Cricetulus griseus: one gene and its partners. The protein of the gene in region 2 interacts with the protein of the main gene of each other region in a biochemical or structural test. Links are inferred from orthologs where the notes say so. Each region holds a gene or a part of one and is shown on either strand. Other genes may lie near its edges.

What was found.
Region 1: the proteins of Cd2bp2 (region 2) and pre-mRNA-processing factor 6 form a complex in vitro, tested with the Homo sapiens proteins (2 studies listed by BioGRID and IntAct). The link is inferred for Cricetulus griseus from reciprocal best matches to the Homo sapiens genes CD2BP2 and PRPF6.
Region 3: the proteins of Cd2bp2 (region 2) and Cd2 interact in a biophysical measurement, tested with the Homo sapiens proteins (6 studies listed by BioGRID and IntAct, with this or other methods). The link is inferred for Cricetulus griseus from reciprocal best matches to the Homo sapiens genes CD2BP2 and CD2.

Annotation. Positions count from the first base shown.
Region 1 is NC_048599.1:309,976-315,569, forward strand, and holds the start of pre-mRNA-processing factor 6, read right to left. Parts: upstream 3,320-5,594; 5' UTR 3,196-3,319; coding exon 3,125-3,195; intron 1-3,124. Other genes in the region: Samd10 (sterile alpha motif domain-containing protein 10), read left to right, coding at 5,146-5,236. UniProt on the Homo sapiens protein: Involved in pre-mRNA splicing as component of the U4/U6-U5 tri-snRNP complex, one of the building blocks of the spliceosome.
Region 2 is NC_048596.1:73,578,096-73,583,346, forward strand, and holds the start of Cd2bp2 (CD2 antigen cytoplasmic tail-binding protein 2), read left to right. Parts: upstream 1-1,540; 5' UTR 1,541-1,695; intron 1,696-2,148; exon of another isoform or gene 2,149-2,154; 5' UTR 2,155-2,177; coding exon 2,178-2,255; intron 2,256-2,450; coding exon 2,451-2,586; intron 2,587-2,702; coding exon 2,703-2,860; intron 2,861-2,962; coding exon 2,963-3,398; intron 3,399-3,476; coding exon 3,477-3,583; intron 3,584-3,661; coding exon 3,662-3,772; 3' UTR 3,773-5,251. UniProt on the Homo sapiens protein: Involved in pre-mRNA splicing as component of the U5 snRNP complex that is involved in spliceosome assembly.
Region 3 is NW_023276806.1:55,693,602-55,699,104, reverse strand, and holds the start of Cd2 (T-cell surface antigen CD2), read right to left. Parts: upstream 3,345-5,503; coding exon 3,290-3,344; intron 3,171-3,289; coding exon 2,868-3,170; intron 1-2,867. UniProt on the Homo sapiens protein: CD2 interacts with lymphocyte function-associated antigen CD58 (LFA-3) and CD48/BCM1 to mediate adhesion between T-cells and other cell types. CD2 is implicated in the triggering of T-cells, the cytoplasmic domain is implicated in the signaling function.

The DNA of each region.
Region 1 (5,594 bases), on a different chromosome or scaffold from region 2:
GGTACACAAAGAAACTCTGCCTCAAAAAAACAAAAACAAACAAACATAAAAAAAAGTAGCTCATAAACTATGGGAGCTCTATCCTAATGCTAAGGTCCCCATAGCCTCCAGCTCCATTCTTTTTGCAGCAAATCCCACTATGCTAAGGTCCCCATAGCCTCCAGCTCCATTCTTTTTGCAGCAAATCCCACTATGCTAAGGTCCCCATAGCCTCCAGCTCCATTCTTTTTTTTTTTTTTTTTTAAATTTTATTTTATTTTATTAGTTCTAGTTAGGGAACAAGCTTATTTCAAGTCCCTTCTCCCTCTCCCTCCCCTCACCCCCAAACTTTCTCCCCCACCCCCAGCCCATCCCCCCAACCCCATCCACCCACTACTCCCCAGGCAGGGTAGGGCCCTCAACGGGAGCTCAGCAAAGTCCACCAAGTCTTCCTATGCTGATCCTGGGCCCTTCCCCATGTGTCCAGGGCCAGAGTGTAACCCTTCATATGGGATGGGCTCTCAAAGTCCCTTCTTGCACCAGGGAAAAATACTAATCCACTACCAGAGGCTCCCTGGCAGCTCCATTCTTTTTGCAGCAAATCCCACCATTCTGGATTCCTTTCTTTTCTGGCCTCACTGGGACTGAACTTTTTCTTTTATATGCAATTTTACTAAGTTAAAGTTAAAACCTTCCTTTTTGATTAGCCAGATAGGGAGATATACTATAGAATGCTTCTATACACTGTAAATATATATTGTTCCCATTGGTTAATAATAAAAGCTGACCACTAGCCTGGCAGAATAGGGTTAGGTAGAACAATCAAACAGAGGAGGGGCAGAGTCCAGGGAGACATGAGCCAGCTGCCCAAGAAACAACAGCAAACCAGTAAAAGCCAGGGCTACCTATTCTTTTTTTTTTTTTTTTTCCTTTTTTTTCTTTTTTTCGGTTTTTCAAGACAGGATTTCTCTGTGGCTTTGGAGGCTGTCCTGGAACTTGCTTTTGTAGACCAGGCTGGTCTCAAACTCACAGAGATCCACCTGCCTCTGCCTCCAGAGTCCTGGGATTAAAGGCATGGACCACCACCGCCCGGCTTAAATATTATCTCTCGTGGGTACTGGGAATCGAACCCAAGTCCTCTGGGAAGAGCAGCCAGTGCTCCTAAATATTGAGCCATCTCCAGCAGCTACCCATTCTATATGGAGAGATATCTTGCCCAGCCTAGGCACAGGGGTGTGGGGGTAGAGAGGTGCCTGCCTCAAGGAGATGAGACAGACTTAGTATACTTCCTAGGGGAGGCCTTACCCTCTCTGAGGAGCAGATGAGAGGTGGGGGGGGAGGGGTAGTAGGGTAGTGGGGTAGTGGGAAGAGAAAAGGAGGGGGAACTGGGGTTGGAATGTAAAAAATAAATTAATAAAAAATAAAGAAATAGCCGGGTGTTGGTGGTGCATGCCTTTAGTCCCAGCACTCGGGAGGCAGAGGCAGGTGGATCTCTGTGAGTTCGAGACCAGCCTGGTCTATAAGAGATAGTTCAAGGACAGGCTCCAAAGCCACAGAGAAACCCTATCTCGGAAAAACAAAAAACAAAACAGAAAGAAAGAAAGAAAGAAAGAAAGAAAGAAAGAAAGAAAGAAAGAAAGAAGACAGGGCTACATGGCAACACAGAGTAATAGAAACATGTTAATTTAAATGTAAGCGCTAGTTAGTAATAAGCCTGAACTATATATAGGTCAAATTATATCATTATACAACTATATAATTATAGTTGTAATTAATAAAACTTTCTGTGTGATTATTTGGAACTGTGCAGCCGGGACATGAAAGCTCCACCTCCGTTTACGAAACTCAAGTTCTCCACAAAAACAGTCAGTGCTCCTAACTGCTGAGCCATCTCTCTATTCCCATTGTCTTTTTTAAAGAGGTTGGGCAAGGTGCTGGAATCAAACCCAGGCCTGGGCATGGTACAGTTGGCTACACCTCCAGCTGCCTTTTAAAACTGCCTGTTTTTTTATTTATTTAGTGTGTGTGACCTGGTACATGTATAGAGGTCAGAAGACAATAATCTATTCTCCCCTTCTATCACGTGGATTCTGGGGATCAAACTCAGGCTTGACAGAGCCTTACCTACTGAGTCACCTCAACAGCCCACTACTTGCCTTTTTATGTGTCTACACCAAATTCCTCTTTTTGTTCGCTTTTTGAGACAGTTTCTGTCTTAAAACTTGATCTGTAGACCAAGTTGGCTTCTGGATCCCTAGTGCTGGAACTACCTGGCATAAATTCCACTTTTCTTTGCTTTTCCCAATCTGACACTTCAAATCCTCTTTGTAAATCTGACTAAAATGCTACACTCTTAAAACTTCTGTTCTCCTGTGTGTGCTTATATACACAAACACCAAACCTTGAATTCTAGTGAATTCAAGTCAATTCTAAATACTATTAACAGGAGAGACTTATGTCTCATCTAATGCATAAATAAGTAGGAAAAATACTATTCATTTACCCAACACCTTATGGTTGGCAGGCATAGGCCATTGCTGTCCAAAGGTGACCTATGGCCACACACCCTAGAGGGAAAAGATGCTTAAGGGAATAAAGGAGTAGCACACTCCTACTATACACATCAGACTCAACTGCTCCTTACAGCCGACTTGCTTGTGCATATTACTTCAGACACCAAAACAATGAGGCTCACACGCCTGCGTAATCCCTGAGGTCAGATTCACATCTCAGGGTGGCAGTCGGGCTTATTCTAACAAAAAAGGCCACCATGTCTGTCAAGCATTGTGTCAAATTACCTAGTGCCTCTCAGAATATATGGCGGTGAACGTTATTCTTGTTTTTGAGACAAGATTTCTTTAAGTAAACCTGGATGTCTTGGAATTCGCTACGCCGATCAGGCTTGTCTCCCCCCCAACCACCCCCACCGCGCCCCGCCTCAATGCTGGGATTAGAGACCTTCACCACCACACTCAGACCCTCAGGCACTTGTTTTTTGTTTTTTGTTTTGTTTTGTTGGTTTGTTTTGAGATGAGGTCTCTCTCTACTTAGTGGTCACAAGTATCATTCTCAACTAGGCCTGGAGCAAGTAGTGTTCCAGAGCACTAGCCACCCTTCCTGGTATAAGTTCCGCCCACTGCCTTACCCCCGGCCCAGCCCGGGTACATAGCCAAGCGGCGCGGGCATGCCCAGGAACGGCTTCTTCTTCTTGTTCATGGCGGTGTTTTTGGCCGAGGCAGAGAAAGATAGAGGAGCAGGTAGGCGGCCGAAGAATACTCGCGGTGTCGCAGCTGGAAGAGAGGCGGCTACTGCGTCGCCGGCGCCCCGGAAGTAGAGAGTGAGGTCGCGCAAAACTCCGCCCACACAGAGCCTCTGACGGAAGTCAAAGATGTGAGTTTGCAAAGCGTTTCCGGTCGGGGCTGCTGGGTGGGTTTGCTGTGGGAAGCTGAGCACGCGTGCGCGGAAGCCACTAACCATTAACGCAGCGGGCCGCGCAGGCAGATGTAAGGGTCATGCGTTCTGTTGCTGTGCCAGGGACGATGCACAGCCTGAGCCCAGTAGGCTTGTTGAGGAGCGTCCCGGTGCTGGCATGGCCTCGAATCTGCCTAGCCTTAGGAAGACGGATTCAGCCTACATGACCAAGACTTGCCTAGCTGTACTGTGTGGCCACCGCCCGTCGATACTGCGTGCACTCCGCAACTACTGCTCTGTGCGCTCAGCGTTCAGAACTGCGACACCCCCCCCTCCTGCTCCGTCCCACCCCCGTGGGCCTTCAGAGAATAAGTGCATGGGCCGGAGTTACATGCTTGGGAGTGATTGTGTGCCCAGGGGCTTTAGTGGACGCGCACCACAGTAACTCTACACAGATATTTTCTGCCTGTGTGCAGCTCTACGCAAGACAATGCCAATCCCACCTGTTGGGTAATAAATAGATTCAGGTCATGAGTCAGGCTGTACTGGGCAATAGCCCAAAGGTATAAAGGATTGCTTAGCCACAGGGATGATGGGCTCTACCTGCAGAAACAATATACTAGGGAAAACAACCCTGCCTCCGGTTAAATCACAAAAATAGCTGTACCTTCCCGGTAGCTATTAAGTATATATGTATGTGTGTGTCCAAATCCCTCTACATGTGCTCCCCTTTCATCCAGTGGAAAGATCAGGGCCCCTCTGTTTCAATAAAGCAGTCTCAACCTGGGGAGAGCATCAGACTCTAGGGCAGACAGGAAAAACTGCAAATTGCTATGCTGGACCAGGCAACCAGACTTCTACGTCCAGTGCTTTTCAGTGGAGTACTGAAGCAAACAACCATTCTTGGCTCCTCAAACAAGCTTTTAGGGAGGAACAGGATTGATTGAGTCTATGAACACTGAACCCTTAGGAACAGAGTCTGATTCAGGAGTTCAACAGAGAGGCATAGTACTGCCTGGAGTTCAAAGTGACCCGCAGGCAAATGTCAGCTAGCGTCTCTGGAAAATGGTCTGAGAAAAGAGAATGCTCCAGTAAAGAACGAGCAAGTGGGGATGAAGATATAGCTTGGTGATTAAAAGAAGTTTTCATATTTTTGCAGAGGACACGGGTTCACCCACATGACAGCTCACAGACCATAAACCCCAGGGCTGGGGGATCCGATTTCCGCACCAGGTACATGCGTGGTGCACAGACATATACATTCGGGCAAAACATTCATGAAATTTAAAAGGGGATGAATAAGTTAGGATACACGGGTATTTGGGAGAGATTGATCTAGCCTTTAGCTGGACAGCGTAAGTAAAAGGTCACAGGTGTGATTAGGGCCCCCACTACTACCACACCGAGGGGACCGAAAGTTCCTCTCTTGCCAACTGCAAAGCTCCTCCAGCACATTGCAGGAGAGGCTGGTCCGCAGAGCCGTACCCAGGTGCGCAAGGACGCCTTTTGCCCTGGCGGACACCCTCAGCATACGCAGCCCGCGCGCCGCCGATACACCTCCGAGCTCCCGGAGCGCGCCTTGCGCCCAGGGCTGGGCGGCAGGTGCTTTGCCGCGCAGACTCCCGGGCCGCGGGGACCGGCTTGGGCTCGGCGGACTCGGGCGGGTGGGGACGCGGTGCGCGTTGCCCATCGGCCGTACTGGCCGCCTGGTACTCCGCGAGGGGCGTGTACCCGAGCCACGCACTGGCGGACTCCATGTTCACCGAGCTGAGGTCAAAGCTGAGCCCCCCGCGAGCTCGCGCCGGGGCTGTGCGTACAGGCTTCGGGGAGCGCCCGGATGTGGACGGTGAGGTGGGATGGACCCTGGAGCAGGAATAACGTGGGCGGTGGGGTGGGAGCAGGACTGGTACTGGGCCCAAGGAGAGCACTGAAGCTGGACTCAGAGGGTTTCCGGGGGCGGCCACCGCGGGGAAGTCTTTGTCCAGAATTACGGGGCAGGAGGGTTGGCAGGAGGGCGGCAGTCAATCTCAGGCCTTGGCTTGGAGTGGGGATGACTGTCAGGAGCTTCTTCACCAAGCTGACACCACACTCTGATCACCCTTTACTTCACACAGAGAAAACCCTCCCCAAACCCTAACGTTGGGGCCAAGGCATATAATTCTGGGAAAGACAAACCTTGGCCCAGTGCAGGGAGCAGATAGGCG
Region 2 (5,251 bases):
CCTCCTGGGACCCTCTGCACAGCTCAGAGTACTGAGAACATTCCAACTTGCTTGTGTACTCCTAGAAGCTAAAGGGAGGCTAAGCAGGGCTGTAAAGCCAGTCTTCAGATTGAGCTACTTGGTCAGCAGCTTGGTGCAGTTCCTGGTACTGGGCTTCTAGGGTGGACTGGCTGCCTTCAGTTCATCTCAGCAGGTGCACACAATCAATCATCCAGTTCTTGTTTTCTATGGCTAGCTTGTAGCCCCCCAGCCCTCCCCCTTGCTTTCTCCCCAGGGATCAGGATAGTAAAGGCATGGGGTTTGTGGTCCTAAGGTGGAGCTCCTCATGGCAGTTCAGCAGGATGAGGCTCAGGGGTGTGTGGTCTCCAGGTAGAAGAGGAAGTTCCCTCTGGGATGCACCATAGTGCCCAGAGCTGGTGTTTCAGGCATTCTGTAGCAAGATGCCCTCCTGGGCTAGGACCTGTGTTCTGTGCCCGTGGAAGAAACTGAGGACACAATTCCAAGTTTCATGGTGATTCAGAATGGAGAAAATCCTGCAAGAGAAAGGTGTGGTCCATCTGGCCGCCCTCATCCAGCTCTTGCAGGATCACCTGAGCTATCTAGCCTGGGGGGGAGGTGTTCTGGCTTTGAGTTGTTCTCAAGAGCTCCAGATCTAGACTTCACTAGACAGGAAGATCTCACCTGGCTCCACCTCTGCAGGAGCGGGATTCCATCACCTTAGCATTTTGCTGAGGGGTGGGGTAGACTTCACCTTGCAACTGGATGTACCCCAGAGTAGGGCATTATGGGCTTCTGGCTGGGTACTGCTCGGATGCCAATGCTACTTCCTGTTATAGTTCCCCTGCAGAAAGAAGGAATTGAATGGGAACAGACATGGGGCTGGGTCCTAAAAGGAGCTAGATTTGGAAAGTGCCTAAGTATTGACAGCCAGAAACAGGACTCAGGAAAAGCAAGAATTTTTTTTTTTTTTTTTAAAGAGACATCTCACGTTGTATCCCCGATTGGCCTCAATCTCGCGACAATCAGTCCTGCTTATTTCCCGAGCGCTGGGACTGTGTCAAGCTTGGAAAGCAGGGTTTCTATTGAATTCCGTTGGGCGCAAAGAGCCCTATATAGAGAGTCAGACTGGAGCCCACAGCTTCTGCTCGGCCTTTGTCCCTCCATCCAGGACTTGGGAACCTCTTTTTTTTTTTGGTTTTTGAGGCAAGGTTTCTCTTTGTGACTTTGGAGGCTGTCCTGGAACTAGCTCTGTAGACCAGGCTGGTTTCGAACTCACAGAGATCTGCCTGCCTCTGTCTCCCGAGTGCTGGGATTAAAGGCGTGCGCCACCACCGCCCGGCCTTCAGCACCTCTTTAAGCAGACAGAGCGTCACGTCCTCACCTGAGTCTCCATTTCAGAGGAATAACAAACACTTGCCGCCATCCTCAAGCTAAGTAAGGCTGGGGCTGGTATAGGAGTTCACGCGAGTCTTTTGGGGTCTTACGTCACTTCCTGCGGAGACTGTCTTGACCAAATGTACACATCCGCCCGTTCCGACAGTCTTTTGGATGGGAGTGAAGCAGCTTCCGGCCTTATGGAGGTCTCCACAGTCTCCTTCCGGGTTATGGAGGCGAGTGCCCCGGATGTAATACTGGCGAAAGCATCTTTCCTTTCTTTCCCCGCCTGACCCCGGGCTCCTCGGTGAGCGCCAGCCGGTAAGACTGTTCGAATCCCTGCGAATTTGCTTCCTCTCTAATTTGTGCGCCGACTCTGACATGGTCTAGCAGCTCGCTGCGTGGAACTGGGGGTCCTAAGCAACCAGGGCGCCAGCTCTTGGGTCCGACCGGCCTCTGTGGGCACTCGGGTGGGAGCTGGGGGAGCCCTGTAGCTCCGCACTGGTAGGGGAGTGGTGACGTAGGGGAGCCTGGCTTTTTTTCCTGCGTGGGAGTACGCACAGGGTCCGCGCGGGGGCGGAGATCCGCCCGTCAGGGCCTCTGAATGAATTGCCAAACCAATTCCCGACGACCCGCCTGCTAGCGCTTGAGATGGTTCAGTGACCCTTCCTCGCTCAAACGGGACCTGGCGCTTACCAAGGAAAATGTGGTGCCACAGCGCTCTCGCGGCCGGCTCTCCTTACCTAATTTTCTTACTCCGTATCCTTTTCCGAGGTCCAGCTGGAGGAAGTGTTCTGCCAGTCATGCCAAAGAGGAAAGTGACTTTTCAAGGTGTGGGAGATGAGGATGATGAAGATGAAATCAGTGTCCCCAAAAAGAAGGTGAGATGGTCAGACTCCTAATGTCTGTGGAGGACTGAGGAGAAATAAAAGGAAGGAAAGCTGAGAAGCGAAAGAAAGGGTTAGTTTGCCCCGGTGCGCTGGGTTTGGTAGGTTTTCAGTTTGGATACAGATCCTGGAATATTTGGGAAGCTCGCCAGTAGGTTGCCTTTCTCATTTGCTGGTTTCTACTCACAGCTGGTGGACCCTGTGGCTGGAGCAGGGGGTCCTGGGAGCCGCTTCAAAGGCAAACACTCTTTAGACAGTGATGAGGAGGATGATGATGATGAAGGGTCCAGCAAGTATGATATCCTGGCCTCAGAGGATGTAGAAGGTGAGTTATTCCCAAAACATTAGCTGTGTTGGAGGGCAAGTCTGATTATGGAGGTGGGAAGTGTGCCTGTCTCTTTTTTGCATGCCTAGCATGGGGCCCCCATGTCTTTGGTGCAGGTCAGGAAGCAGCTACTCTCCCTAGTGAGGGGGGTGTGAGGATCACACCCTTCAACCTGCAGGAAGAGATGGAGGAAGGCCACTTTGATGCTGATGGCAACTACTTCCTGAACCAGGATGCACAGATCCGAGACAGCTGGCTGGACAACATTGACTGGGTGTGGCCCAGGAGCTGTCCTGGCTGAGGCCTGGGAATGCAGGTGCTGGGCCTGGGCCCTGGTGGAAGTTTGTAGGAAATAATAATTATCTTTCCCTTATAGGTGAAGATCAAGGAGCGGCCACCTGATAAGCACCAGGTTTCAGACTCAGAGGAGGAAGACAGCCTGGGTCAGACTCCGATGAGTGCCCAAGCCCTCCTGGAGGGACTTTTGGAGCTGCTGTTGCCAAGAGAGACAGTGGCTGGGGCACTTAGGCGTTTGGGGGCCCGAGGAGGAGGCAAAGGGGACAGCAAGGGGACTGGACGGCCCAATTCCCCACAGCGCCTAGACCGGCTCTCTGGGTTGGCTGATCAAATGGTGGCTCGAGGCAACCTTGGTGTATACCAGGAAACAAGGGAACGATTGGCTATGTGTCTGAAGGGTTTGGGGTGTCGGACTCAGGGATCCCATGACCCCACACCTCCACCCTCCCTGGACATGTTTGCTGACGAAGTGACAGAGGGAGAACTGGAAACCCCGACCCCTGCGCATAAAGGAGGTAAGCTTTTAGGACACAGGAGAGGCAATGCCAGTGGGAGACTGGGCACTTAAGGCCGATACGTCTTTGTTGTCTTAGAAGCAGAGTCAGCGGGAGATGGTCTAATGGATGTGATGTGGGAATATAAGTGGGAGAACACGGGGGATGCTGAGCTGTATGGACCATTCACCAGTGCCCAGATGCAGGTCAGTGGCTTCCTCCTGTCTTGTCTGTCCATCCCGACTTCTGTCATCTTTCCTAAGTTTTGTCCTCTCTTCTTACAGACCTGGGTGACTGAAGGCTACTTCCCGGATGGTGTTTATTGCCGGAAGCTGGACCCTCCAGGTGGTCAGTTCTACAATTCCAAGCGCATTGATTTTGATCTCTACACGTGAACCTGCTAAGGGCCCAGTGTGGTAGCCCCTTTTTCTTGGACTTGGCAGAGGAGGCCCCAGCTGCCCTGGGCAGTGAGGATCTTGGAAGCTACTCTTCAGCCACTTTCCCTTTCCCAATAAAAGCCTTGAGTGTGCATCAGGGCCTTGATGTGCTGGTAGCCAGAAGCCAGGGCTCCTCCGTAGCTCCTGTTGGCTTACCTGGCCCTTGAGTGTCTCCTCCTTCCTTAGATGCTTCTCTCTGGTGTCTTGGACCACCTCGGTTTGTTTTCCGCCCTTGGTGGCAGTAGTAGGGCCCGTCAGGTGTCCTGTGACTTGCCATGTCAAATTCCCTTCAATCACTCTATTCTCCTATCTCCCCTGCAAGTCCTTGTTTTGCTGATCTTCAGCTTTTAGGACCTCAGATTCTCTGGCCTAGTAACCCCTTTGCAGCTGGGACATTTGGAAAAGTTTGAGATCCTATTGAGAACACTCAGGAGGCCTCTTAAACATGGGTTCTCCTCTTCTCCCTAGTCTGATTTTTCCTTCCCTTGCAGTAGCTCCCATAGCTCTTAGGTGAAGCATGAACTTAGTAGCTCTTCAAAGCTACTTGGGCCACCATGCATTATACAGGCACAGAGATGGGCAGTGACTTCCTGGAGGTCACACAGTAAATTAGAGAGCTGGCCCAGAACCAGTGAGCTGCTTCCCCTGACCTTTCTTGGCATAAAGCCTTTTCTTCCTTGGCCATTCAGGCCCTGCAGCTTAACATTTCCCAGGCTCCCACATCTCTGGCATAGGGATGGTGCCTTGAGGGAACATTGCTGGACTGGTCTTCCAGGAGCCCCAAGTGCAGTGGCAGACAGACACGTAAAAGCAGTGCCTCACTCGTACCAGTGCTGCCCTGCGCCCATGCCACCTGCACATGACGGGTACCCTGTGCCAGGCTAGGAACTTACATAGGGGCCCTGGCTTGGTTGGGGGTGTTTGATCAGACACCTTCAACCCAGTTTATTGCCAGCCGAGACCACAGTTTCTTTGACTTTGAGAAGCCTTTTAGTGGTAAGACATTTACTTAATGTTAGTTGTAAGGTGGTATTGGATGGACTTGCTTTCAGAAATACTTAGAAGTGAAAAGTTGGTGTCTAGAGATGAGTGAAATCCAGTCATGTCCGTAGCCTGGGTGAGTGTTCACAATGTTTGGTGAGACAGACACGGAGGACTTCCCCGAGGTGTTCTTTGGGTTCCTCAGATTTGACCCATCTAGAGCTGATCCCCCCCCCCACACACACTTTCTGAGTGTACCTTACTGAGGACATCCAGGAGGGGGCAGAATATCAGTCCCTGAACCCCAGACCCTATGAATATTACTTTATGCTTTATGTGGCACAGGAAAGCACATTGCGCAGATGTCGTGAAGTTGAGATTTTTTTTTTCTTTTTTTAATTTTTTGAGATGGGGTCTCACTGTGATCCCTGACTGGCCTCAAACTTCCAGGAGGTT
Region 3 (5,503 bases), on a different chromosome or scaffold from region 2:
GATTGTATCATTACATTCCCTTCTCATAGGCTTCAGTGAATGTACACCTCCACCATCTCTGTAACTGGTGCTCCTAATTAAGCTGCTAAAGAAAACATGCACTAGCATTTTACTGGTGCAAACACAGTGACGAGCAACCTTGTTTGTAGATAGTCTTCCTGTAAATCAGCTTTCTGAAAGGGGCATGAATGGCTGGCTGTTCCTAGATATGGCTTTTTTTATGTTGTTTATTTTGGGTTGTTGTTGTTTTTCAAGACAGGGTTTCTTTGTGTAGCCTTGGCTATCCTGGAACTCACTCTATAGACCAGACTGGACTTGAACTCCCAGAGATCTGCTTGCCCTTGACCTCCAGAGTGTTGGGATTGTCTGCCACTACTGCCTGGCTAGATATGGCTTCTTAATCTTGGCCTTCTAGGATCCTCTCCTTCTCCACAGGTTTCTTGGGGCCCTGCACTGTCCTTTCAGTCAGCTGCCTCATTGGGGAAGGTAGAATCTCGGAGCATAGCGAAACAAGTGGAGGGGGACCCTCAGCACTGAGAAAACAGGTGTGGTATCCTAGGACTCCAGGGCACCTTCATACCCCTGTTGAATATTACAGGCCTCATGAGTAACCCCTAATAGAAAAATCAGAAATTTTCCAAAATCCAAAACTTTCTGAGCCACAGTGCAATACCACAAGTGGGAAATCCCACACCATGACACCATGTTTCCTGCCCGATGCTATTTAAAATACTGTATTAAATTACCTTGAACAGGGCATATGAAGCATAGATATAAGCATAAATGAATGTCATGTTTACATTTGTGTCCTCTCTCCAAGATACAGCACACATATATATGCAAATACTTCAAAATCTTCACAAGGCCCCAAATCCTAAACACTTCTAATCCCAAACACCTTATGTAAGTGATACATAACCTGTGCTGGGTAATCAGGTTCAGAGCCGAGAACAATCTTCCAATTCTGTGTAATATATAATGATGACAGGACCACAAGTTGAGTCAAGATACTGTGTGGCATTGTCATTTGCATGCAATAATGAAGTCACTGTTTTTAGTCTAAGGGTCTGGGTTTCCTTTAGGGGTAAAGAAAATGTTGCCCACGGTGATAACCACATTAACTCCATGACTATGCAGAAAGCTGTTGAACTGTGCATAGTAAAGAGACAAACTGTGTGGTGTGTGAATCATACAGAATCAATGAGTTTATTTGGGAGGGAATGTCGCCCTCCTTGTCAAGGAAGCCCTGGGTTAGCATCCTGACTTTGATCCTGTCAAACAGTAAGAACATGGCCATGTCACTCCCGACTGGGTCTCTGTTTCCTTTTAGATGGACAGAAGCTTGTAATTATAAGTTCTCAAGATTACTAGGTGCTTTAAATAAAACCAGGCTAACAAGCTCCTGACTTCTCAACCCCAAAATAAAGGTGACCGTAGAGCCCCATGGCCTGCAGTCGTGACTCTGGCCATTCTCAGTGCCCATGGCAGGTGGCCTTTCTCATTCTCACCCCATTTCTGGAAAGTTCTCTCTAGACAAGGTTATAGGATTAGGGTCTGGAAGGGAGTCTTGCATAGAGGAGCTGACATTAGGTCCTGAAGAGTGGCTGGTGCTAGGCCTAGGTGCTGAGTACAGGGTGGGAGAGACACCACAGGTAGGATGAGGGGAGTCCTTTCTCCGGTGACATTTCCTGTGTGAAGCTCAGAATGAAGCTCCCTGAATGGCTGGTCTATGCTGTGCAGGCATTCTCAGCTTCCTCTGCAGGTAGAGGGCAGGCTTTCTCATCTCACCTATTATTGCGAGGAGATGTCACTTGTCCTTGGGCTTTCAACTTCAGTGACATTCAATGCTTTTCTCTTCCTTCTCACTCACCCAAGCTTCCTTGATTCCCCACCACCACCACCACCATACCCACAGCCTGCATGTTTGCATCTCTCCTCATCTGCACTCACCCTTTAGACCAAACCAGTGGTTATCAGGGACAACCGTTCACTAGAAGCACTTGGAAGTTATAGATCCCACTCCATGCCAGAGGCCTAGGCATCACTAACTTCTTACAGCTTTCTTGCTGGTTTTTGTTTGTTTGTTTGTTTGTTTGTTTTTCAAGACAGGGTTTCTCTGTGTAGTCCTGGCTGTCCTGGAACTCACTCTGTAGACCAGGCTGGCCTCCAACTCACAGAGATCTGCCTACCTCTGCCTCTCAAACACTGAGTGTGCTCCATCACCAACGAGCTCTTACTGGTTCTTTTGTGCTACTAAGATTAAGACCACCCACCGTCCTCCTTGTCCTCACTTGGAATTACAGTAGAGCTTTCTAGCTAGTCTTCCCACATCCACCCTCAGTGTCCTGCACTCTCTGTACATGCAGGCACGAAGCCTCACGGTTTAGTTCAAGTCCCAGCAAAATCACTGTCCATCTTCACTGTGATGATGTTGAAGAAACTAAAAAGAAAGAATTGGTCCTTCGCTCAGGATCTCCAGGCCTTTCCTGCCCTTTCACTCCTTCAGAGCACTCTGGCTTGATCTTGGTTCTCCAGACAAGAGACACACGGCTCCCTGGGCACCTTCTGCTTTCTGACACCCTGTCTTGCTACTCCTTTATCAGCCACCAAGGATGTCTTCCTTTTTTCTCTGCTAGCCTGTCCTCTTTCTGACTAATGCCAACTCTAACCTGGGATTCTTGGCGTAGCCCCACAGCCACCCCAAAGAGAGAATGAAAGCTAGATAGGCTTGAGAACACCCCACCCACTGGAGTGTACATTGTGGGCCACAGAGGAGATGTTGAATAGGAATGTTACAAAAACACTGCATCCCAACTCGCTACATCGCACTGGAAGTAAAGGAAAAACTTCATAGAGGGAAGACTCACCTAGAATCCTCAAGTCGAATGCTTTTTGCAGCTTACTACTGCCATTTGCACCATACACTATCACATTATAGGTGCCGTTGTCGTCTCTCTTCAGTTTTTTTATTCGCAAGGTTTCATTCGTCAAGATCTCAAATGCTTCCGATAGCAGAAAAGGTTTCATCTCTTTTTTTAACTGTGCGACCAGCGTTCTCCCCTTTTCCCATCGGACTTCATCAGTATCAGTCACTTGAAAGTTAGGGATGGTCAAGTTGATATCATGACCCAAGGCACCCCAAATAATACTACTGTCTCCGGAGACCGTCCCTGTAAAAAGCAAAATGGTTGCTGAGGTCTTGGAACTACCAAGGATCTCCCTCTTTGACTCTCACACTCATTCCAGGGTCTCCAGAATAACTCCAGAGAAGTTCCACACGCCGGCTTACCTTTGTTGGAAATGCTGAAAAGCAGAAGGAAGCCAGCTAGAAATTCACATCTCATCTTTAGACTCTGTTTCACAGTGGTGATTCTGAGTGCTTCTTTCTAACGTGATGGCAGTAAGACTGGCAGAAGCCACACCCAGCAACCTGAACCACGTGTCTCTCAGGCTTGCTGTTCACCGTAGGGAAGAAAACACTCACAGTCCCTCAGCCCCATAGGAGGCCCTCCTTTGCCAAAACAGGTGTTCTGTGATCCTGTGTGTCGGCGTCACATTTTAATCTTTACGAAACTGTTGAGGCTGGTGGTTTCGGCACCCCATTGAAGAGAAGAGCTGAGAGGTCAGTCACCCCATTTGTAACAAGGGCTCAAACTCACTCAGACTCACTGTCCACTCAGCGGTGCTGCCTCCAACCGGACCCCGTAGACTCACTGGTAAATGTTTGTAAGAAAATGGGATTCAACTATGTATCCTATGGGGAGAGATGCTAGAAAATGTGTGCACGTGAAATGATAAAAATGGATTTTCCCTCTTCCTTGAAAATATTTTTAATATTCTAAAATTGTTCATGTAGGGGCCTGGAAAGATGGCTGGGCAGTTAAGAGCACTGGCTGCTCTTCCAGAGGACCCAGATGCCATTTCCAGCACCCACGTGGCGCCTCATAACTATCTGTAACTCTAGTTCCAGGAGACCCAACAACCCTCTTCTGGCCTCTGTGGTCACTGCACGCAGGTGTTGTGCACAAATATATGTAAACAAGCACTCGCACAAATAAAATAAAAATAAATAAATATTGGGAGGCTGGAAAAATGGCTCAGTGATTAAAGAACAATTGTAGAAAACCTGAGTTTTGTCCCTTACACCTACAAGACAGCTTACAAACCTTGGTAACTCCAGTTCCAGGGGGTCTGATGCCCTCCTCTGGCCTCCACAGGCACCAAGCATGCAAGTGACACACAGACATACATGCAGGCAAAACACTCAAACACATAAAACAAGTATAAAGAAATCTAAAATTTTTTTAATTGTTTATGTTATAAAAAGAAGCCAATCTTCTCCACTATAAAGGCTGTCAACCCACCCATCTCATATTTAGCATACATTTCATGACTCTCTTGGAATTATAACTATGTAAAGAAAAACTGGTTCCAAAACAAATTTTTTAAAAACAAACTATAAAATAATATTTATTTTATTTATGTGTTAGGGTATTTTGCCTGCATGTATGTATGTACACCATATGTACTGTGTTGATTTGAATTAAAATAGCCCCAATAGGTTCTTGTATTTGAATGCTTGGTCATCCTCTGGGAAGAAACTATTTGGAAAGGATTGGGAGGTGTGGACTTGTTGGAGGTTCGTTACACTGGGTATGGACTCAAAGGTCTTAAAAGCCCATGCTGTTCTGTTAGCTCTCTCTGTCTCTTGCTGTGGATAGGAATCTCAGCTCTCAGCTACTGCTCCAGCACTATGCCTTCCTGCCTGCTGCCATGCTCCCTGCTATGATGGCCATGGATACTAACTCTCTGGAACTTTAAGACCCCAACAAATGGTGCTTTGTCATAGCTGTTAAAAACTAAGAATGCATGTACTGCCTGAAGAGGCCAGAAGAGGGCGTAGGATCTCTTGGGACAGAAGTTATAGATGGTTGTGAGCTGCCATGTGGGTGCTGGGAATGGAACTCAGGTCCCCTGTAAGAGCAGCCAGTGCTCTTAACCACTGAGCCATCTCTCTTATCCTAAGACTATGAAATAATAGTGAACAACCAAATTGACAACTATAGATGGTCTAAGACATGGAATGACCAGGACAAACAGAACTGGGGGAGAGAAAGAAAAGGTTTGTGTTCAGGAGAAGGGTCAGTGATGCAGATACCAGTGTCCCTGGAAAAAAGACACTCAGGAAGGTCATATGGGCAAGTGATACTATGAATGTCCTGTCTTTTGGGTTTTTTTTAAGATTTTATTTATTTATTATGTATACAGTCTTCTGCCTGCATGCCAGCAGAGGGCACCAGATCTCATTCAAGGGGGTTGTAAGCCACCACGTGTTTGCTGGGAATTGAACTCAGGACCTCTGGAAGAGCAGTCAGTGCTCTTAACCTCTGAGTCATCCCTCCTGAAAGGTTCAGGCATTATGCTGGCCTGCCCCTGTTACCTGGTGGAATCCACTCAGGCAATACCCTGGTCAGCCCAAGGTTCCATGGGAAAGAAGTCTGCA